Linked DNA regions of Cricetulus griseus. The protein of the gene in region 3 purifies or fractionates together with the protein of the main gene of each other region. This does not show direct contact. Links are inferred from orthologs where the notes say so. Each region holds a gene or a part of one and is shown on either strand. Other genes may lie near its edges.

Region 1 (7,868 bases), on a different chromosome or scaffold from region 3:
GGTTAAACCTGGTTTCTGGTCCATGTCTGCAGTGCAGTAGCCAGCTGCATCATCCTCAGGCAAGTGCTTAACTTTCTCCTGAAGTAAGTTTTCGACATTGCTTTACTAAAGACTACCCAAAAAGCTTAGATTACCATGTAACATGATAAAAAAAAAAAAAACCTTTAAAAGACAAAGACATGGGCTGCACGTGTAGCTTTCCCTGCATACATGATGCCCTCACTGCCATTTACAGAGTACATTGTGTTTCAGAGCCTTTTTCTACGTAAGTACATCTTAAATCTTAGCAGCAGGTTATCACAAATATAATTTTGGAAGTGCTCTGGCAAAGGCTCTTGGATGTGAACAGGTTTGGTTCTGTGATAGTGTAGTGAGCCTGGCTGCCATTCAGTGTGGCTCTGATTGTTCTACAGAATTGGATACCTAGAAAACATGTGTCCATTTAGTACCACCTTTTTGTGACTCAACAGAATGCTTTCTCTGCCCAGATCTGCACAAATTAGGTTGGAAAGGGCTACCCTAGACATGGTGATTCTTCCTCAGTTCTTGCTGTCGGACTCAGAAATGTACTGATGAGTGACCTCAAGGCCACATGCCAAGCTGTCTTCCCAACAGGCTTGTGTCCTCCCTCCTTAGAGTTCATTTCTCCAGGGTGTTCGGAAGTTCCGAGTGAAGCACTTTGTCTAGCTCTTTAAGACATTCAAACTCTTTCATGCTACTTGAAAAACTCATCTTGCCGTTGTGTTTTAAAATGCAGTCAACACTGTGCCTGCCTCAGGCTCTCCAATCATTTATTCCAGAGTTGGGTTGTGTCTCTACAGGAAATTAGCCTTTTCCTCTTTAAAGTAGATTTGAGTACCTAATTCTTAACTCATTCGAGAGTTTAGTTTTTCTAAATATTATAAACATCTCTGTGCATGACAAAGATCTCTGGAGTGGTGTTACATTGTAAAGATGGATGTGATTGGCACCCTGTCCCCACGACCTCATATTGCCCACAGGCATGGGTTGAGGCTGGGGCTTTTTCCCAAATGCACCTTCTTTTCTCTCCTGAGCCTTACGCTCCTGCTGGTTTTTCTGCTCTTCTGTGCAGTTCCTCATGACCTTTTTCTCTGGTATCAGTGGTCTCACTGAAGAAGCACTGACATTTCACATCTGTGTTCTCGGCATTTCATGTCTTCAATCATTAATCCTTGCTGCATCTTATCTGGGCAGGTCAGTAATTCTCACTGGCATAGATTTGGAAACCTAAGCTTCAGAGATGTAAAATACCTTTCCTAGGACACTAGGGTTAGAAAGAGACAAACTCTTAAGTCACTTCTAGTTCTCCCTAACTTTGTAGTTATTATTCTCTTCCATGAAGCAGCTATGACATGGTTACAGTAATTACTGTGTCTGATGCTTACCTGTTCTTATGTCTGCAGGCTGAAAGAATATTTTTTCCAAATGTGTATTGTCTCAAGGCACAAACAAAGCAGGAGTTTATGTTAGCACATTGGTCAAATCCTCATGACAGCTGCCATCTGGGCATGTTTATTATTGCAGCTTTACAGGAAGGGAAACTAAGGTTCACAGGCACTGTCTCTGGCCCTAAAGCCAGTCTGGCTGGCAGTGGAGACTGGATCCACTTTTTTTGAGTCTTTGCTTAGGCTCCCTGTGCGTGCAATGCTTTGCACATACTAGTAGAAAGCCAGAGCCTCTCACTTTCAAGACTCAAAGCACAAGAGATTGTGGTCCTAACTTGTACAACAGTTGGAATTTGTTTCTTGAGTCTTATCAAAAGGGTAAACATCCATCTATGATAAAAGACACTGAAAACTTGTATGCATGTGCATATGGAAGGCATTGAGTAGAGTGTTTGCAGAGTGCATTCTGGGTATCAAAACTGTAGTGTCACTGTGACTAAGATTATAAGGGGAAAGGCTTACAATTGTTTTGAAGTATAATGCCACTGCATTCCAGAAATGAGCATATAAGTGATAGTGGTGATGGGTGGCTTGTGGCCAGGCCATATGCTATCATTTGTTAACAAGATATTCAGATGTGTATCTGCCTATAGTAGGATGTATGGATCAACGTTTAAAGAGTTGTTAAAAATTCTCAGTTGCCTCAAAAGCTGGTATATGTTGCTACTTAGTTGGGTTTTACTCATTTACCTCTTATAGACTATACAGAATGAAAAGTCCATTAGTAATCATCAAGTAACTTACATTCTATAGTAGTCAAATTCACAGTGGTTGTCCACACAAATAGAACAAAAAAAGAAAGGCATGGTTTAAGAATTGCAAGGCAGGAAAATGATGAGTTCAAAGCCAGCCCAGGGCACACAGTGAGATCCTGTGTCAAAACAACAACAAAGACCATGGTTTAAAGTCATCTTCTATCTCTCACATGTTCTGTTTTAGTGGAGAACTCAATTTGCATATGCATTTATTCAGCAATGTTCATTATTGATTATTAGCTTATCACTGTGGTAATTATAGGGAAATACTACAAGATAGATGTCACCCTCATCTTTGTGGTCTCACATTACAAAATTGATTATTGAGAAATGCAGTGTAGATTGGGAGCAGAAATGAAAGTAACATTTATTTCCATCCCAACAGATTTCGGTTTTGGAAATTTCTTTAAAACTGGTGAACTTCTTGCAACATGGTGTGGCAGCCCCCCTTATGCAGCCCCAGAAGTCTTTGAAGGGCAGCAATATGAAGGACCACAGCTGGACATATGGGTACTGCTTTGCTTTGATATGTTAAATGTATCTATCATAATAATTGGTACTCTGACCTATCTTAGAAGCTCCTGATATTCAACACATGGATAAGATTTCATAGTCTCCCCATCCAGTGGACTGTAATTAGTCAGAACATCTGGAGATGGATCCCTAGGAAAGAACTTCTGGGGACAAGTGTCACCATCCTAATATCAACAACGATTTGAAGTGATGTGGTGAGCAAAATGATCAAATTCAGATCATTTGGTATTTATGCCTAACTCTCACCACAGAAGTAAGATGGGAATTTTGGACAGGAACCCATCAATCCATGTAGTTTTAGGAGCTGTGGCGGGTTTTGGAAAATCAGCGTGTTGAAGTTCTCCCTGAAAGTGACTGCGTTGTTTTCTTCCCTAGAGCATGGGAGTTGTTCTTTATGTCCTTGTCTGTGGAGCTCTGCCTTTTGATGGACCAACTCTCCCTATTTTGAGGCAGAGGGTTTTGGAAGGAAGATTCCGGATTCCATATTTCATGTCAGAAGGTAACGAGCTGTTCCACATATTGGCTGTGCATTACGGAATTTGTGCTGTATGAAGTCCTAGCCAAAATTTCCCTGCTGAGAGTTTGGGTACCAGATAAAATGACTAAGTCATTTTAAAAGCCATGGAGCTCTGCAACACCCTCCATGTAGACGAGACAAGTTCCAACCTTCCTCCTTGTAACTGAGAACAGAAGCTACCCAGATTAAGAGCAGCAAGTCTTTCCATTCAGCTTGGGTCTATAAATGTCCCGGTTTATTTTAGACTCCATAGATGCTGGCTTACAATCATTTTACTCTATGTATGAAATAGATTTGCAAAATTAAAAGTCTTAAATTCAAAGTCAACTGGTGGAACTCTGATAAATTCAATTGAAATGCCACAGTCCCTACTTGTCTTGTTTTAGGCTGTCATATCGACGACAGTTTGATGACTCCTTAGTTGTGTCTTCAGTTTTCACCCTTATCTCTTATTCCTGCAAACAGTAGACATAATTAATGCACTGGGGAAGGCAAGGTCATACAGGCTCTGGAGACAGACTACCTGGTTGGAATCCTGAGTTAACTATTCACTGGCCCTGCAGTTTTGGCTCATCTGTAAAGCGGAGTTAACAATAATTCCTGCCCTTGAGGTGACATAAGGATGAAGAAATTACTCTGCACAAAGCACTTAGCACAGTGTCTGATAGATGTGAGTGGCAGGAGGCTGAGTTGGAAGAGAGTGGTGAAGAGCTTGCTGTCACTCGGAGCTGCAGCTGCAGTGTACATAGTGTCATCAGAAGCAGAGCTGCATACATGGTCCTTGGCAGCACTGATGAGAAAAGCTGCCGCTCACTGGAACAAGCATGATGCTCTCCCAGCTGGCTTTACTGAACATTCCTGAGTAGGACCAAGGATCAGTTCTTGTTCTGAGAATGAAGCTTAGAATTATTTTTCCTTTGTTGAAATCTAAGTGTGGCTAGATAAAACGCACCAGAAAGGCTTTTTCAGCACACAGGTAGGCTTATACTCACTTGTGTTTCCTAAGTGTTTGTTCAGCATCTGAACTTGACCAGTCACCCTTCATGCATTCATTTGCTCATTTGTCCTGCAGTGAAGGATACAGATATAATAAATGTTGTGCAAAGTAAGTATGGGCCATGTAAGTATGTCTGAAGGTGATCTATGTGACTTTTTATGGTTTTTTTTTCCACAGATTGTGAACACCTTATTAGAAGGATGTTGGTCCTCGATCCTTCCAAACGGCTAAGCATAGCTCAAATCAAGGAGCATAAGTGGATGCTCATAGAAGTTCCTGTACAAAGACCTATTCTCTATCCACAAGAACAAGAAAATGAGGCGTCTATCGGAGAATTTAATGAACAGGTTCTGCGATTGATGCACAGCCTTGGAATTGATCAGCAGAAGACTATTGAGGTAAAGTGATGGAGATGTGTCTGGAGATATTTTAGGGTTCTTCTGTGTTTGTCCCTTAAATTTCCATGCTCACACCTGTCATTCTGGTCTTTTAGCACATACTCTCCAATGCCTGGGTGTACTGCTCAGGGTTCCCTGATGATGACATCAGGCTCTATTTACAGTTGCTGTTATTCAATCTCTAATAATCTCCTTCCTTCACCCTCTCTGCCAAGAAGCCCAAGGAAATAATTTTCAGAGGATTCAAAAAAGGCTAAGACTGGGGCTTAAATATACAAGATAGAGGCTGGGCATGGTGGTAATACACACCTTTAATCCCAACACTGTGAGGCAAGTAGATATCTGTGGGTTCAAGGATAGTCAGAGTTATATAGTGAGACCCTATCACCAACGAATACAAGGTTTCTTTGAAAGTGAAATGAAGTTTGATAATGGTATAAAACCAGTTTGTATGAACTATAAATGTACATATATGGAACAAGACTAAGGACTGAGCCAAGAGCCAACAGAAAAGCATCACATTAAAGCAAGCCAGTGGAGGGTTAGGAGACCCAGAGAAACTAAACAGGCAAAACCAAGTGAAGTTGTGGTTTGGAAATATTAATGGTTATAGAATGAAGAAAGATTTGAACCTGGAAATTTCCTCTTGGCTTTTTTTTCTATCTAACAGTTAGCATGCATATAGAACATACACAGTGCCTGCACAATAGCAGCCCCACCAAAGCAGAGCAGTGCCTTTATAGAGACTGTTTCTTATCTCCTATTGTGGCTGTGAGCAAAACCAAACTTGCTGTCTCACTCTGTGCTTTGTGCACTCAGTGATGTTTTCCATGGAATAGATTCTGGGCTTCTGTGGGTCCCTCTGGTCTGTGAGTTTTTTGTTTTTCCTGAGGGTTTCCTGTTACCCCATACAGCACCCATATGGATTGTCAGGTGGTATTAGAAGCCAAAAAAGAAGTTGTTTCTCTATTGCACTGGCGTCCCAGGAAAGCTGGCAGACTAGCAATGTGAAAAATTTGGGAAGTAAGTTTTTATTCAAGGTTTTCAAAGGGTGGGACTGCAGAAACAAGAGGAAAATATTACCTAAGAACACAGACACAGTGTCTCTCCATCTACCATCCAGATGTCATTGTCCAGCCCAAAATAACCACCAGAAAGCTCTGCAAAGGCTTTGTTCATTCACGTCAGAGTTTTCAGAATTGAACTTGGTTTGCCTGAAGCTTCAGAGTTAGAACTTTGGAGCACAGGGTGCTGGCCAGCCTTACTTAGTACTAAGTACCTTGGTATCTAAAATTGAGTGAGTGAAAATACAGATCTAAAATCTCAAGCCAAAATTATTATGGAAATTCATGTGCGTGGATCTCAGAGGGCTCACTTGTTCCTGTACAGCTTTATTTGTTAAGACACAAACGAAATATCTCCACATGTACCTTTGAACATCATGGCAGCAGGGGCACATGGCAGAGGCTATTACTCCCTTCTTAGAAGCCGGGGGAATGGAAAAGGGAGGTTTTGTGATTTTTATTTGCAGAACACTTACCTTACCCTCCCCTTTAAAGAAGTATAGATCTCTTAGTTGGTTTTTATCGTTCTCTACCTTCAGCACTTGTTTTTTCTTTCAGTCTTTGCAAAACAAGAGCTATAATCACTTTGCTGCCATTTATTTCTTGTTGGTGGAACGTCTGAAATCACACAGGAGCAGTTTTCCTGTGGAGCAGAGACTTGATGGCCGCCAGCGCAGGCCTAGCACCATTGCGGAACAAACAGTTGCCAAGGTAACGGCCCATAGAGCCACCAGTCTCATCTATGCATGTGCTTTTTTATGTTTGGTACAAAAGGTTAGTATCTCATCTTCTACAGTGTTTTCCTGGGTTTCAGCCACCGTCACTCACTAGAGTCTCAAAACTTTTAGCACCTTCCTGCTTTTAGGGATTAACTTTAATTTTTTTTTTTGTCTTTTAATCACTTAATCATTTGCTAATCTTGAGAATTAATGTAACTAGCCTGTACTTTCAGTTCATTTAACAGAATTATGTTGCACATTGACCATGTGCAGGCTGCTGTTGTTAGGTACTCTAGGAGTTTGAATGCATGGAACACCATCATGGTTCTCAAAGCTGTAGTCTAGAAGCAATAAGAGAAGGCCAGAATCATTCTCTAGGACAGGAATATGGGTGCTATTGAAGAGCTGAGGGCAAGGGAGAGAGGCTTATTTGAATAGGAAGAGCTTCATGGGAAAGATGACATTTAAAACAGCTCTTCATGGAGGTATGAGACTGTGAAAGCAACATTCAATACCAAAGACATGACTAGGAAGGTGATGCACACAAAATGAATAAAAGTGCTCACATGGCCTGTAGGCCCTGTTCCTACTAATTCAGTCCATTTGAGCTGAAGTCTAAGAAAATAAAAATTTGGAATGGTAATTGGAAGCAGTATTGTGAAGAGCTTCCTAATGCCAAGGATGACTTATAATTGAGGAAGCAATAACAATCTTACGAAGACCATAAGCCAGTTAGTATGGGAGCATTAGAAAGGATGGCTTGGTTAGGGAAGAGCTGGGGACAGGGGGCAGGATCTCACTGGCTGGCCTGGAACTTGTTATATAGACCAGGTTGGTCTCCAACTCCCAGACATCCACTTGCCTGTACTGGGATTAAAGGTGTGTGCCACCCTGCCTAGCCTAGGAAGCGCAGAAATTTTTGAAGAATGCCTCTGAGATTCTTACACTAATTGAGATGCAGAATGCTGAAGACTTGATGTAGTGCTGGTAGAAAGGGAGGAAGGGCTCAGACAGCTAGACCTGTGTGAGTTTAACACTGATGGGAAACGCAGCTCCACTTAGTGATTAGAGGCAGGGGTGCCAGAGCGATTCCCAGATTCTGTGCCTCACTTGACCTGTCCTAAAATGGGAATGACACTAAGTGCTGTGACAAGATGAGTTGATATCTGTGAAGCCTGTAAACAGTACCTAGCACATAGCACATGCTGAGTATCTGTTCCACAACAGAGTTAGAGGCAACATTCTCCTCAAAGGCCTAAAGACACAGTGAGCACATAGCTCAATGCTAGGAGAGTGATGTGGTCTGAGAGAGGTCTAGGACTTGTGTGGAGCGGCTGGGAAAGGAATGGTTTCTTCCCATTAAGATGCCTGCCTCATCTGTAAGTAGCACTCCATGTTAAACAGAATTATAAATGTAC
Region 2 (7,868 bases), on a different chromosome or scaffold from region 3:
CACTATTTCCATGACATTTACGACTGATTTTTATCATGTTCATTTTTCTTCATTAAAATGCAAGTTCCATGAAAGCAGGGTCCCTGTATGTCCTTAACACTAGAACTGTGCCTCACATATGTAGGTACTCTATGTAGCCACTCAATAAATGTTTCTGTTAATGAGTAAGCCATGAGCGGATCTACCAGTTGTCACAGAAGGCATAGTGTATACATATTTCCTAACAAAGCATTCAATATTTTTTGGAGGAACAAATGCTAACAGCCTGCCCCACCTATAAATTGGTGAGTTTCATGTCCATTGGTTTCCATACTCTGTGGCTGCTTCAGCCACAACAATTACAACAGGGATATATGATCCACAGAACTGAAAATATTTCCTGGCTGTCCTTCACCAGAAAATCTGCAAACCCCTAGTCTACTACTTTGCAGGAAGTATAGAAGATAAAAGAAAATATCAAATTATGCCATGGGAAGTATAACCAGCTAAATTCCAAATAAGGATGCTAAGCTTGCCCTGCTCCAACATGGAAACCACCATGTATGTGTGGCATCTGCATGCTTGAAATGTTGCCAGTGTTCAAATTATAAGACTTAGAAATTTGGAGCTGAAGCCCACATACATTCAAACCCCAACTGCACCACAATTAGCTAAATACAGCCTTGAACAAGCTTCATAAACTAGCTGGACCTCCATTTCCTTGAGTATCTATGCCATGGGCTGTTAGGAGAACCTAATTCCATAATACATGCAGCTACTTAAAACAGGCTGGTAGATAACAGTCAGTCTGTGTCCATGGTTTCCCCACATCAATGGAGTCAGCCAACCAAGGATCAAAATATTTGGGAAATTTTCTTTGTCTGTAGTAAATATATACAGACTGTTTTCCCGTCATCATTCCCTCAAGTAAGTAGTATAACAACTATTTACAGATCATTTACACTGTGGATTTTTTATTTATTGTTTGTGAGAGTGTGTAGGTACACACACACCACAGCACATATGTGGAGGTCAGAGGGCAACTTTCAGGATTTGGTTCTTGCCTTCCACCTTGCTGAGCTGCACTGTGCACCCCAGACTGGCTGGCCCATGATTTTCAGGGTGATCCTCCTGTTCTCTGCCTCCCACCTCACCATAGGAGTTCTGGGATTGCAGATGCATGCCACCATGTCCAGCTTTGTATGGGTTCTGGGAACCAGACACAGGTCCCCAGGCTTGGGCAAGCATCTCTCCAGCCCTACTTTATGTTGATTAGGTATTGCCAAGTAGCCTGAAGGTGACTTAGAGTAAGTACACAAGAGGATGTATACAAGCAGTGGCAAATACCACACCATTTTATATATGGAAACTGAGATCCAGATGACCCTGCAACCATCTCCACCATCCAAACTGAAAACAACTGTATTAAGTAATTTAGGGGTTGCTGATTTTTATCGTTTCTACACCAAAGAAACCAAGACCCTTAGATCTAAGATTGCTATTGTGTATAGTAATGCCATACACTAGTGTAGAAATTAACGAAGTCAGGTTTCCAGGAAACACTTCACCTCCATATCACAATACAGCTCACGAATCTGAAAGATACCCGTCCCTGATGCAGCCCTGAGATTCCTAGTTATGGAACCCAATTCATCTCTGACTCCTCCTCCTAACACCTACTAATGTAAAGAAAATGGGGCCTGGTTAAGAAAGAAACACAGGAGGATGGACACCAAGCTAGAACTGAGTATTAACTTTACAAAAGGACTCTACATTAGAGTCAAAACTCCCCAAATAAATGGTTTCTTTAAAAATTATTAAAGAGCATATCTGTATCTCCTAAATCTAAAGCCTTGAGTTACCTGTTCATCTGAAGCTAGATTCGTGAACAATGGTACAATTTCAGTTTTCACACTGTCTAATTCCAAAACTTTTGCAAATTCGCCCAATTTGGAAGCAGCAGCACGTCGCACCATTGGTGTGTCATCTGAGCACAGGGAACGGAAGTGCCTGCAGCATGAAATAAGGTATTTCCTGTCAAACACTTGGTTAAGCATGCCCCAATAACAAGAGATGGCCATTTAGAGCATTTCCCTTTCAAACATCAATGATTAGGTTTCTACTCACAGATATAAAGAAAGGACCAGGAAAATAGCTCAATCAGGAAAGTGCCTGCCTCCCAAGTGAAGCCCACTCAGAGTCCCCAGGACCTACACAAATAGCTGAGTGCAATGGCAGTAAAATAACCTCAGAGGTGGCAAGATGGGAGATAGAGATGGACAGGTCCCAGAAAGCTCGAAGGCCAGGTAAGCTAGCATATGTGGTGACGTTCCAGGCCAATGAGAAACCTTGTCTCAAAGAAAATGAGGAAGGTACCTGAAGACCAACACCAGAGGTTGCCACATGAAACACACACACACACACACACACACACACACACACACACACAGAGAGAGAGAGAGCCCTCAGTATATTCAACTACATGAAAAAGCATCACCAGGGGCTAGAGAGATGGCTCAGAGGTTAAGAGCACTGAGTGTTCTTCCAGAGGAATCAGGTTCAATTCCCAGGATCCACATGACAGCTGACACCTGTCTATAGCTCCCAGATCTGACATCCTCACACAGACATACACGCAGGCAAAACACCAATGCACAGAAAATAAAAAGAAATAAAATTATTTTAAAAAGAAAGGAAGAAAGGAAGAAAGAGAGAGAGAAAGAAAGAAAGAAAGAAAGAAAGAAAGAAAGAAAGAAAGAAAGAAAGAGTATCACCAATCTTGCCTGCCTAGTATGAAACAATAATGGGAACAGGGCACTGTGTAAACTCTGGCTGTGAGTCCCTAGTAATCCCACACACTAAAAAATACTGGCTCTTACTGTCGAATTTCGGCCTTGACAGCATTTGAAGCTCTGGGGTAGCAAACGCTGAACAAACCACATGCAGATGTGCGAGAGGTGAACCAATCCCCACTTGCTAGGCGTTTCACCAGAGGTACAAAATGAGCTTCGAGTGCAACGGGAGTGTGCTCCTGAGAGATCTGCCTCAGGGACTCCACAGCCTTGTCTCGAACAACAGTCTCCTCCACAGTAGCCAAGCTTTCCAAAGGAGGCTGCAGAGATCAAAAAGGGAAAGCAGAGATGACAACTTATTAAATCAGGTTAGACACAGATTGACACCTTTTACATGACTGAAGGGAAACGGTACATGGAACCAGAATGTTAACTACATCATACCAAATGGTTACTTTCAGTTCACACAGTGATAACATATGGTGTGGCCAACCTGAAGACACGACTTCTGTAGAAAAGCCAAGATTGCATGTCCCAGATGGCAATCCCCAGATGGTGTCTACAAATGACACAGTGGAAGAGACTTGACACAGTATCACTATTATTAGGAGCTGAAGTTTAAATGATATGCAGCCACATTCAGACAGGAACAGGTCCAAAACTATGGCCAACTGTGGGTAACACAAGTGCATGGTAATTTCTGGTCAGGCTACTGAGTCCATACTTTTGTGCATCACCCTACCATTCTTGGAGGTGCAAGCAATCCTGTCCATGAAACCTCAATGGCATCAATTAAAGCAACCAATAAAAAGCTGAGTCAGCACCAGGTTTTGGTGGTTTTTTTGTTTTGTTTTATTTTGTTTTTCTTCTTTTTTTGGGGGGGGGGGCCGGAGGGGGGGTCAACACAGGGTTTCCCTATGTAGCTTTGGAGCCTGTCCTGGAACTAGCTGTTGTAGACCAGACTGGTCTTAAACTCAGAGATCCACCTGCCTCTGCCTGCCAAGTGCTGGGATTAAAGGTGTGCACTATCACCACCCAGCAACACCAAGTTTTTTTTGTTTGTTTGTTTGTTTTCAAAATACATTAAGAATCTTTCTAAGAGCCAAATAGGAGTTTCAGACAGAACAGTCAAATAATAAATGCAGAGATGGGGGAGATCTTACAGCTATAGAGACATAAAAAGATAGGAGAGGTTCCAGGTCTGGCCCTTGTCAGGAACTGAATGTGACATGGCCTGGTAGACATGGAGAAGGGCTGCCTCTCTGAACATCCAGCTGCCTTTCTAACTTTGCATTTGATCCCAGTAAATTCAGCATAAGGTACCGATGCAGAGACTAGAACAAACTCCACAGCAGCACTGACCAAGAGTGAAGGTCAGGACTTAGGGAAGGAGTGTGCCTGCCTAATATGGTTCAAAAATATAGACAGCTCTATGCTCTCCTACAGGGGATATCAAAGACCCACTGAAAAGACACCGCTTCTTACTAGTCAGTCTGTCACCATCTGTCCCCTGCCTACTGTGACATAGCCTCACACTGCTACACTGGCTTGTGAGAGGTACCTGCGCTTCAACTCTGCCCATTTTCCAATTTCAGGGCTCTGATGACCACTGCTGCTTGCATTTTATACATTAGCAGCTTTGAACCCAGCAAGTGTCACGGTTGTAAGCCTATGAGACTCATTCTTTCTGTAATGAATGCAGTTATGTTGCAGCACTGAGGATACAGAAGGGATGAGCACACTAGATGCCTCGCTCTAAAGGACTCTACATTCTAATGGTGGAATCAGATGAAAACAGGTGAAGGGCAAGGGGGTGAGCAAGTGGCTACTCCAATGGTGGTCAGGGAAGGCCTCTCATATAAAATGCAGCTGTCTGACTTACGAGGAGTCAGCAACAGAAACTCTAAATAGCATCTCTCTAGAGATGACACCTACAGCCGATGTCTTAAGGCAATATGAGCTGGGTTTACAATGAACAGAAAAACCAATGTGTGGAATGAATTACCAAGAGGAACAGTGTATATGCTATGAGTTTTTCATTGCTGTGACCCAAAATAGCTAACAGAAACAAAGAACTTATTCTGGTTCACAGTTTCAAGGGTTCATTTCATGGTTGCCTGGCCCCATGAGCCTCGGCAGAACAACATGGCAGTAATAAAGTGTGGCAGAAGAACATCTCTGCCTTACTGCAGATAAGCAGAGAGTCCAAGGACAGAGGCAAGATACCCTGCCCCCAACATCCCACCTCCCACAGCTAGACCCCACCTCCTAAAGTTTCCACAAACTCCCAAAATAATGCCACTAGCTCAGCACATGAGTGTGTTTTTCATATGGATTGGTATAGATGCAGAGTCTACAGGACAAACTGCTCAGATGTGAGGGAGGATGAAGGACTTAAGAATGCCTTCTAGTTCTGGACGGCAGCTCACTGAACTAGAACATACCCAGCATGCAAAGGCCCTGGCTTCAATATCTAGCACCACTAAAAACAACAGCTATCTTCTAGGTTGTGCTGGTATAACTGGATAGCTGGAGACAGCCCATCTATAACTCTGTTGATTTCTACTAGTCTCCACTTTATCTGTTACCCATCTATGTCTGGAGTTCTACAGAATGGTTCATAGTAGAACTAGGAATCATGGGAGCCAGCATCATATATTCAATATTTAAAGCCCTAAAACAGATGGTCCTGCCTTGTCCAGCTGGTCAGTTTCTAGTCACCCTTTAAGGCTTAGTTCATCTGCATAGTGGGGCATACCTTTAATCTCAGTACTCCAGAAGCAGAGGCAGGAGGATCTCTGAGTTCAAAGTCAGCCTGGTCTACATACAGTTTCAATCCAGGAAAGACTACAATAGCAAAACCTTGTCTCAAAAATACAAACAAACAAACAAAAAAAATTAAGTCCCTTCCCTCCCCATCTCTGACAAGCCTACAGAGGCAGAAACAAGTTCTTATATCCAGCTGATAAAAACAAGAGCTGAGCTAAAGTGCCTACATTATTCATTCACTCAACATTATTACCACCTGCCCATAAAAAGACTTACATAAAAAATGTTGCAGTGTAGCAGATGCAGAAATCCAAAACTAACCATTAGGCCAAGCTCCTGGAGTATAATCAAAGCCATAATATGAACAAAGGGAGTCAAGACCATGATGGGGAAGCCCATAGAATCAACTGCTCTGAGCTAGTGAGAGATCACTGATTCTGATCTAACAAATGGGGGATCTGCATAAGACCCAACTAGACCACCTTAATATAGGTGGCAATGGTGTGACTGGGACAATATATGAGGCCACTGACAGTGGGTCCAAGACCTAACACTAATGCACAAACTGACTTAGTGGAGCCCATTCTATATGGAGAGATACCTTGCCCAGCCTAGACACAGGGTGTGTCGGGTGGAGAGGTACCTTGGTCCTACCTCAACAAGATGATGGGACAGACTTAGTAGACTTCCTAGGAGATACCTTACCCTCTCCAAGGAGAAGATGGGAGGTGGCGGGGAGAGGAGAGAAGGGAGGGGGAATGGGATTGGAATGTAAAAAATTAAATAAAAAAATACTATAAAAAAAAAAAAAATGCTGCAGTGTGCCTATCACCAGATAATAAATGTGGTTAATCCTACAGAGTTCCAGAAGGGTAGGCCATAGGTAAGTACTCACCAGCAGACAGTGGGCAAAGTCAGGACCTCCCACCAAACCAGTGAAATTTCCCAGCTGCTCAGCAAGAGCTAACAGCACCTCATCTTCATCATAAATTGTATCTGAAAATAACAGCAGTTGGTTAGCCCATAGAGACAAGTGCCACTAAGCTAGTACTTACACAGCTGCTGCAACTACAATTCTAAATAGTATTGTCTTCCTTGTCTAAATCAGAAGTCTTCATGAATGTTTCACAGAATTACTAAGAAATTAATATCCCATGTCAACTACCTTCCCATTAGTTACATGCCTTATGTTTGAGTATGTCTGGCTTAACATTTTTTTCTATACACATTGCAGAAGGCACCTGCTCCTTCTAGTACTTATTGCTACACTACGTAACAAACTAAAAACAGTTTGAAAGCCAATGGAAAATGGCTTTCTTTAAAGGACACATACCTGTAAGGAAAGGCAGCAGTTCAGTTCGAGTCCTTTCCACTCCGAGTGCTAAAGCAATAGTAGATAACTTCTTGATACTGTTGAGACGGAGCTTCAAAAATAAAGTGGGAAGAAGAACAAAGCAAAGAGATGGTTGCAATTCAGGTCAAAAGAAGCAAATAGGTGAAACACTGGTATACAGTATATAACGAGGATGAGTCTTTCACTTAGATCTTATTCCTAAAATAACTCAAGGACCGTTTAAACACGTCATTAGCCAGAGGCTATCCTAGGGAGAACACTGAAGGGCCGGGAAAGAAATGAATGAATGAAAACACGCGGGCAGTGAGAGATTCTGAAAAGAGAGAACTCTGGACCGAAGGAAGCAGGTGAAACGGTTAAACACAACTCCTCCCTTTTCAGAGAAAAGTTCCATCACAACTGATGCACCACTCATCTGTGTTAATCAGCTGTGGCGCTCTTCCCACCCAACTAGCCAGGCCAGTTTGCCAGCAGAGACAGGCACTCCGCAGCGCTTCAAAGGCAGCCTGGTGCCCGGGCCGCTCCTCCGCTCCCGGGCGGCCCCGCAACCCACCAGCAACCCACCGGTGCTCGTCCACCGGAGGCGGGAACTGGCTTGGCTCCCCGCCCACTGCCGGAGCAGCCGGGTGCCACCACCCCAGAGGCTCGAGGTCGAGCTGCTGGGAGTCCAGGCGGACCACCACGGAGCCTCCGCCACCCCGTCCCCTACGAGCGCTGAATACAGCTCTGCCGTCCCCGGGGCCGCCCCCACGGCTGAGCCGGCCTTCCCGCTTCTCCACCATGTGCGCCTCCGCCCTCTCCTCGACTCCCCAGCCCCAGCCTAGTACCTGCACGTCCTCATTGCGGAGCTCGTCGATTAAAACCGCGATCGGGTAGAGCGAATCATCTCCATCTCCGCCGGCTGCACCCGGACCGGCCCCGGGCCCCGCTGCGCCCGCCATGTTCTTTCTCCTCTGGCTTGTCGCCGCCGTACG
Region 3 (7,868 bases):
TCCTTTCTAGGACTGACCTGGGTGGCCATGAGGTGAGATGCTATGTGACCCTTGAAGACTGGAAATGGGGACAGCAACACAATTCTGTAATTAAAAGAGGGTACTGAGGTGACAGCATTCCTGGCTTCCCCGGGTGGCCTGGAATCCAACACAAGTGTCCTTATTAGAAATGTACAAAAGAAAGAGTGGCACAGGTGCAGGGGCTGGGGGTGGGACACAGAGACACTTACTGAGTGACTCAGTGATGGGACAGCACTGGCCACTAGGGACCAGAAGAGATGGTAGTAGATAGACTGTCAGGAACAGCCCTGAAAGGCAGGTGTAGCTCTTCACCTGCTATACCCCAGTGTGAGCTGTAGGTTAGGTGAGAGAGCGCCAGGCTACTGCAGAGCCAGGCTGTGTTGGGTCCCACAATGAGATCTGTGGTCCTTCCTGTCAAGGACACAGGAAACATGAGCCACATGGGCCTCTGCAGCATTGTCAGAGTGTAGGGACTTTTATAGGCTGTCCTTCATCTCCTGTCACCAAAGGCATTGCCTAGTCTCCCAAAGCTCAGCCTTGGTCATTCTATCACTTTGGAGTGGTGAGTTGTGGAGAGGAGGGGCTGTGTATCTCATGGCTTCCTTTCACTGAATCATGGCATCCATACTATGCAGTGATGGGGACTAAGAGCCACTCCTTCTTCACAGGAAATTCTCTGCTAATCATCCACTGAGTCTGGACTGTGGCCTGGAAGATTTGGCTTGCTCTAGCAAAATATCAAGGGAGAAGTGGACACAGAGAGCAGAGAACCAATACCAACCCCCATTGCATAGGCATTCATGGAGACTATAGGGATGTAACAACAAACTGGGCCTCCAGGCACAGCAATAGCCTGGATATAAGGCAGCATGGAGCCCATCCCTGAAGAAAGCAGGGAGGCTTGGGTGAGCAGGGACACACCCAGAGCCACATGTGGAGCTGTGGAGGAAGGAGTTGGCTTCCAAACATCAGGGCAGGGCAGGCCTTCCAGCACCCTCAGCATACCAAGGACCCTGATGCCCTGGCTATGGCTGTCACTCAACAAGGTGGATGCCAAGTGCAAATGGAGGTTTCATGAGAGAGAATGAGCAAGCCCTGGGCTCCACAGACTGCACCCGGCAAAGCATGAGGCTCATCCACATGTCTTCCCAGGAGCCTGCTCTCAAGACCAGAAGATGTTGTCATGGCAACCAAGTAGTGACTGGAGTGAGAACAAGGCAGCTCTGCCAGAACCCTGCAGAAGGGCCTCCTGTGTGGAGAGCCCCGAGGCCTTCTAACATAAGAGACAATCTAAAAAAAGAATTTTTTTCTCTCTCTAAATTTTCTCCAGCAGATGACCTGGCTGCAAACAAGAACTGAGGGCACTCAAGGCACAGCATGCCAAACCCTAGACCCAGTTCCTGGCTGCCACAGCACAATGCTGAAGGTGAGTGGGTGAAGCCTCAGGCACCTAGTTCTCAGAGTTTTGGAACCTAGAACTCCACTGCTAAGGTAAAGACATGGCAGGAGTCCCCCAAGGCCTATTGCTAGCATTGCCACAGGTTTACCTGCTCTGTTCCCCATGTCCTTACCTAGTCTTTGCTGGCCCATCCTTGTGTCAGTGACCTTATAGCCACTTCAGCTAAGGACACCAGTCACCGTGGGCCTCTGTGACTCAATTTGAAGCTAACAACCCCTGAACACACTGACTGCAGATCAGCCTCATCTTGAGATTCTGGACAGAAATGATGGTCACAGTGCAGTGTCAGCCACATCTCAAGTCCCTGAAAAGATCTTTCTGACTGGGAAGGTGTCTTTGTGTGGAAAGACCTCCTCTGTGAACCAGTTTTTTAAAACTCTGTCCTCTGGATGAAACACTGCAAGTGCTGGTATCTCAGGACATGGGGTGATTTAAACAGGCTGAGTGAGGCTGAGGGAAAACTTACAGGAAGGAACAGAGGCATGGGCATACTAGCTGGCCTGCTTCCAGGCCCCTGAGGAGAACTTGGCTTTGCTCATTCCACCTTCCTGGAAGCTGATGGCCCTGAGAAGAAGCCAAAGGAGAGTCCACGCACCAGACCCTGGGGCACAACCTGACTTCCAGCTCCTTAGGGTCTGGTGTTTGAGTCACCTTGGTCTCAAACAGGCAGGAGAGTGGCTGCCCTAGACCTGCATGCAAGCGGTGGCTTATGCACTGTAAGTCATTTGCCTGCTCTGTTTAGAAATGCTCACAGTACCTCTGCACTGGGCTGTGGAGTGCCAGGGACACAGGAAGGTCTCATCCTGGGTTCCAAGACAAAAACTGTGTGGGCAGAGGGGCAGTCAAAGGAATCCCTGTGCAGCTAAAATTCAAAGGAAATGGGGCCCAGGAGGAGACCTGTCAGCCCAGAAGGGACACGGCAAGGACAGATGGGACTGGGCCATGGAACTGTGGGCAGAGGCTTATAGGCAAAAGGATCATGGGGCCAAGAGTAAGAGGGGAATAAGCAGAGGGTGGAACATGGCCCTATGGGTCCCTGAAGGACAGACAAATCTTGAGAGTTGGGGGAGAGGATGAGGGAAGTGTTACCAAGGAACACCAGCCACCACTGATGAGCCCAGAGCAGTCTCAGGAGCCAAAGGGACCACTGAGAACTTTGAGCAGAGGCTGACAGAAAGGAATGCAAGACCCTGGTCCAGACTCAGTCCAGCTCTCTGCACTCAGCATCACCTCCAACCCTGACCTCAGCTTCCTCCCCAGAATGGATGAGCCAGGATCCTCCAGGTCTCTCTCTCTCTCTCTCTCTCTCTCTCTCTCTCTCTCTCTCTCTCTCTCTCTCTCTCTCTCACACACACACACACACACACACACACACACACACATGCATACACGTACATCCCTCAGAGGGTATCACATAAGCTCAAAGCCATCCCAGCTCAGCATGAGGTCACACATACCTCTCTCCATGCCAGAAGGGAGACATCTCCAATTACTCAGCTGCCATCAGATCCGTGGAAACACCTGCAGCCCAGAGTCCAGACCCTTTTCTGCTAAGAGAGGCTCACCTCCAGGGAATAAGCCCAGAGCTCTGTTCCAGGTGTCTGACTCTCATCACTCTGTGGCCTGGTACCAGCAGGCCACAGTGGGGCAACATGGCTCCCTGATTAACCTGGCAGTCAGACAGGAGGCTGCTTCAAATCCTAGTTTTCCCTAAGCCACATCCGGGTCTTCAGCACCTGACACATACCCCTTCCTGCATTGAACAAGTCAGGCACCTCTCGTCACCAGCTTACCAGGCACTTTCACAAAACTGGAGCCACACACAAGTTGGACACAGTGTGTCCACAACAGCCATATTAGTTCCCTAGTTCCACGAGTCCACTGACATGTTCCCCTTTCCACTCGAGTTCCCACAAGGCCCGCCAGTCCACTGACATGCTCCCCCTTCTACTCTGCTGGTGAATGCTGTGCTCTTCAACATGGATGAGCATAACTCCTGTATTCTAGATGGGAAAAGGAAGTCAGTGACACGGGGACAAACAAGTCTTGGTGCTGGAGTAATCAACTCTCTTTCCTCATATACAACTATCTTGTTCTAATGTCCTGTGGCCACCTAGGTCCAAAGACAGTTACAACACAGCCCAAATTGAAGAAGTCAACATTCTTTACTGTCTCCATTACATCATCGCTATGCCATTCCCTGCCCCTCACTCCCTCTCAGTAGATACTTGTCATCTAATGAGCTCAGACTCAATGACTCAGGTCCCTTACTGCAAAGGGGCTGGTGACTATCCTATTGTGTGAAAGCTCAGTACATGAAACATCACTTAGTATGGCTGGCATTAATAGTCCACACAACAGTGACATGGTAGCAACCTGCCCTTTCTGGATTGGCCCTGACCTTCCCCAGCTTGGTGCAGGCTACACTCACACATCCTATAGGTGGTCCTCTCCTTAGCAGGCTGGAGGAGGGGCAGTGCTCAGTCCTTAGCTTGTTCTGACACCAGGATCCCATTTCTGGCTAGCTTCTGACACCCATATCTCTGATACCCCAGTTGTTACTCTATATCCAGAGAGACACAACACCGGACATGTTGCCTCTAGCTCTCTTGACCTTTCATGGCTCCTATGGGGACCAAGGTGATGGAGACCATTGCCACCCTAAGGAGGCATGGGGTGTGATGGAGCTTCTCAGCAGCTGTGTCTTTTAAGTGTTCATAAATACTGTGGTCCTACACCTGGCCCCCTTCACACCCTAGATGGGACCACAGTAAGGAAGCTGCCAAAACTAAAGCCCGGAAGCCAGTGTGCTTATATACCACCCTGAAGCCACTTCCCAGCAGGTCAAGCCAAGGATACTGAAGCTCCTATCAGTGATGGCCAGATGCCAGAGGTTGATGCGTAGGTCATCTGCTGACATGTATGTCTCACAGTCGCTGTTGACTGAGATGGAGTTGATGTGATAGGTGTGGCCATTGGCAAAGATCCTCCTCGGGCTCACCTCCACCATCAGGTCCATGGGCTTCAGGACAGGGACCTGCAGAGCAGAGACAGTCAGAGTCACAAGGGAAGGGGCCGGAGAAGTCACAGGACACACAATCTTTTTTTTCCCCCAAGACAGGGTTTCTCTGTGTAGCCTTGGCTGTTCTGGAATTCGCTCTGTAGACCAGGCTGGCCTCAAACTCATAGAAATCCTCCTGCTTCTGCCTCTCAAGTGCTGGGATTAAAGGATTACTGCCTGGCAGAGAACACACGATCTTAATGGGAAGCTGCAACACTCATTCAGGAGCAGGGTGTGAAATAAGCAAGCGGTCGTGTGTGAGATCAATGGTCAGAGATACCAAATGTCCTTCACCTGCCCTGCTAGCGCAGCATGCTCTACATGGCTGTTTAACTGTGAGGTTTTCAAAGCCTCCTGGCCTGTATAAGGGGCTCAGGAATAAACCTGCCCACCTTGCATGAACTGATGATGAGAAACAAGATCAAACATGGGATAGGTTATTAACTGGTAATTTATTAAGAAGGGATACTCACACAAGGAACCAATAACCAGATTTGGCACTCTGAGAAGTCCAGTCCCAGATGCCTCCAAGACCTAGCCTGAACACCCCCGAGAGATGAGGAGCGCCTCTTCCTCGCTCTTTATCCTACCCCTCTAGGTACCTGTGACCATACCCAAATGGGCATGGTCAGCAGTACAGGTATCCAGGGTCTCTCCCTATAAACTGAAGTGCCCAGCACACACACACACACACACACACACACACACACACACACACACACACACACACACGCTTCTCTCTCTTGTTCTTTTTATAATTTATGTGTATGAGCATTTTGACTGATGTATGCATGCACACTATGTGGTGTGCCTGGTACCCAAAGAGGTCAGAAGAGGGCATCAAATCCCTTAGGACTGGAGTTACAGACAGCTATAAGCTGCCATGTAGGTGGTGGGAGTCAAGAACAGCAAGTGCTCTTAATCACTGAGCAAGCACTCCAGCCACCAAAACTCTTTCTTGCAAGTTCCACACTCTGCTGGAGGATGCAAGTCCTTGTGTCTTTTAATTAAGCAGGACAAACGTCAACTTTGCCACAACTCTACAGCACCACATTCTGTCCTTCACTGCACCAAAGAAGACCAGCCCAACTCCCTCCACACTATAATACCCAGGATGAGCTCAACTCAGTAACTACAGAGCAAGTGTGGCTATACTCTGGGCCTCAGTTTTTCCTTTCTGTAATGGGAATTTTCTGACTTGCTTTCCCTCTCAACTGCAGTTGAAGAGCCCTTCACAGACACAGCCCACCACACCATGCCAGGAGAGAAGCATACAGGGTGTCTGCTGTGTAGTGGATTAAAATTTTTCATCTTGGGGAGAATTTTGAAGATATAGGATGTAAAAAGGAAGTGAAACAATGGGATATTTTAGGACAGGATGTTTACAAGGAGGTGAAACAGCAGGATGGTCTAAGGTAGCAGTTCTCACCTGTGGGCTGAAACACCTCTGGGGGTCGAAAGGCCCTTTCACAGGGGTCGCATAGCAGATACCCTGTATTGCAAATATTTACATTATGATTCATAACAGTAGCAAAATTACTGTTATGAAGTAGCAATGAAAATAATTTTATGGTTGGAGGTCACTAGAACCTGAGGAACTGTACTAAAGGGTCATGGCATTAGGAAGGTTGAGAACCACCTAATAAGGGGAGGTGAGATACTTCATCTTTTAGGGAAGCTCCTTTTGGACAGTAGATAAACAACTCAAAGTAGCTTCAGGAAGTTCCTGAAGCTGACCGGGTTCACTAAGTCCCTCCCTTTCTGGAATATATAAGCAATAAAGACTGCAAAGATCTATTCCCCAACAAGCTGCTCAGAAAGAAGCAGAGACCAGCGACCTGATCAGCCAAGCCGCCTGATTAAGACTCAGACCAGCTGAGCCACCTGGAAAGGACTTGCCAACCTGTCGAGTTGGCTGCAGGTTGTGCAGTGTGCTCCAGGTTCCCAACTTTTGTGAGGTGTTATCATGCTGGGGTGGGCTTTGGCGACGTAGCTGCTTACCACTCATTTCAGCTTCTATAAGTAACCCCAATAAAATTCAATGGTTTGGCCAGGCATGGTGGTGCACACCTTTAACCCCAGCACTTGGCAGACAGAGGTAGGCATATCTATGTGAGTTTGAAGCCAGCCTGGTCTACAGAGAGAGTTCCATGACAGCCAGAGCTTGTTACACAGAGAAACCCTGTCTCAAAACACCAAAAGACAAAAATAAATAAAAACCCAACTCATTGGCTCACAAATGAATGGACTTGGCAGTATCTTGATCTGTCATTGGTTCCCCATCCACGATGAGTAGATGTTCCTTCATCACCTCAGGAATCATGTCACAACAGTGTGGCCCTGACCCTGGCTCTGAGAGTCCTAAACATCTAATGGCTTGGTAGAACGTAAATGTGGAACATGCTCACCTGCAATGACGTCACTGTGGACAGGTCTTTTAGTTTCCCCTCCTCATCCTTCAGGTTGTAGCCCTCGGGCCTCTTGTCTCGTTCGGTGATCTTCCATAATTTAATCGTTTTATCTTTAAGAAAAGAATGGGGAAGAAAAAGGCACCCTGTCACAGCCAGGTCAGTACAAGAACGCTTGCTTCAGCCAGAGAGACAGTGATGTCATTCCATGCCCCTGTTCTTACATAGTCAGGTTCTCCCTCACAATGCCTTACACAGAATACCTCTGCATGTGGGCAATCTGTCCTCACACCATCTTTCCTGGTCACTGGCAGGGGATGTTGCTATGTCAAAGGTCCTTGCAGGGATCACTACTGACCTCCACACTGGGTCTCTACCATTGTTCCTTCCTGAGAAAAGGGTGGCCTATCTGCCATTCCTAACTCGGTGGCACCTGCCACCCAGAAGCCAGGTCCAGGGTGTCTCTTCTCTGCACTCCTCTCTTGGATGTCACAGGAGGAAGCATAGGCTAAGCCATGGATACTGTTCAAAACCATATTGGCTGTTGCTCTGAAGGATGTCTCAGGTATAATTAAAACTTAAATCCATCAAGCAGATAACCTGCCATCAGGAGATGATGGACCTTGTTTATTGCCAAAGACCCTGACAGAACAGAAGCCCACCTCCCTGGGAAGAAGGGACTCTCAGCAGACACCCTCCAGGCTTAAGCTGTGTGCTTCTGGCCTCACAATCCCTCTCCATTTCCCCCTTTTCCTCTCTCCTTTCTCTGTCCCTCCCCCACAGATCTGGCTTCTCCAGAGAACACTGATAACCTCAGCAGTCAAAAGAAACAACACTGTGAGCATGGGAAGGAGCTGGATGGAAAACTGATTTCAGATGGGGCCCTCAATAGGGGTCTTCAGTATTCTGTAAATTGGGG

Evidence for each region.
Region 1: the proteins of Ppp2r2c (region 3) and Sik2 purify together in Homo sapiens (affinity purification with mass spectrometry; 3 studies listed by BioGRID and IntAct, counting the BioPlex papers as one, with this or other methods). This does not show direct contact. The link is inferred for Cricetulus griseus from reciprocal best matches to the Homo sapiens genes PPP2R2C and SIK2.
Region 2: the proteins of Ppp2r2c (region 3) and Ppp2r1b purify together in Homo sapiens (affinity purification with mass spectrometry; 4 studies listed by BioGRID and IntAct, counting the BioPlex papers as one, with this or other methods). This does not show direct contact. The link is inferred for Cricetulus griseus from reciprocal best matches to the Homo sapiens genes PPP2R2C and PPP2R1B.

Annotation. Positions count from the first base shown.
Region 1 is NC_048597.1:162,681,724-162,689,591, reverse strand, and holds part of Sik2 (serine/threonine-protein kinase SIK2), read left to right. Parts: intron 1-2,606; coding exon 2,607-2,731; intron 2,732-3,130; coding exon 3,131-3,254; intron 3,255-4,446; coding exon 4,447-4,667; intron 4,668-6,289; coding exon 6,290-6,442; intron 6,443-7,868. UniProt on the Homo sapiens protein: Serine/threonine-protein kinase that plays a role in many biological processes such as fatty acid oxidation, autophagy, immune response or glucose metabolism.
Region 2 is NC_048597.1:162,628,638-162,636,505, reverse strand, and holds part of Ppp2r1b (serine/threonine-protein phosphatase 2A 65 kDa regulatory subunit A beta isoform), read right to left. Parts: 5' UTR 7,836-7,868; coding exon 7,722-7,835; intron 6,965-7,721; coding exon 6,874-6,964; intron 6,537-6,873; coding exon 6,436-6,536; intron 3,092-6,435; coding exon 2,859-3,091; intron 1,990-2,858; coding exon 1,842-1,989; intron 1-1,841. UniProt on the Homo sapiens protein: The PR65 subunit of protein phosphatase 2A serves as a scaffolding molecule to coordinate the assembly of the catalytic subunit and a variable regulatory B subunit.
Region 3 is NW_023276807.1:105,891,679-105,899,546, reverse strand, and holds part of Ppp2r2c (protein phosphatase 2, regulatory subunit B, gamma), read right to left. Parts: intron 7,063-7,868; coding exon 6,950-7,062; intron 4,518-6,949; coding exon 4,340-4,517; intron 1-4,339. UniProt on the Homo sapiens protein: The B regulatory subunit might modulate substrate selectivity and catalytic activity, and might also direct the localization of the catalytic enzyme to a particular subcellular compartment.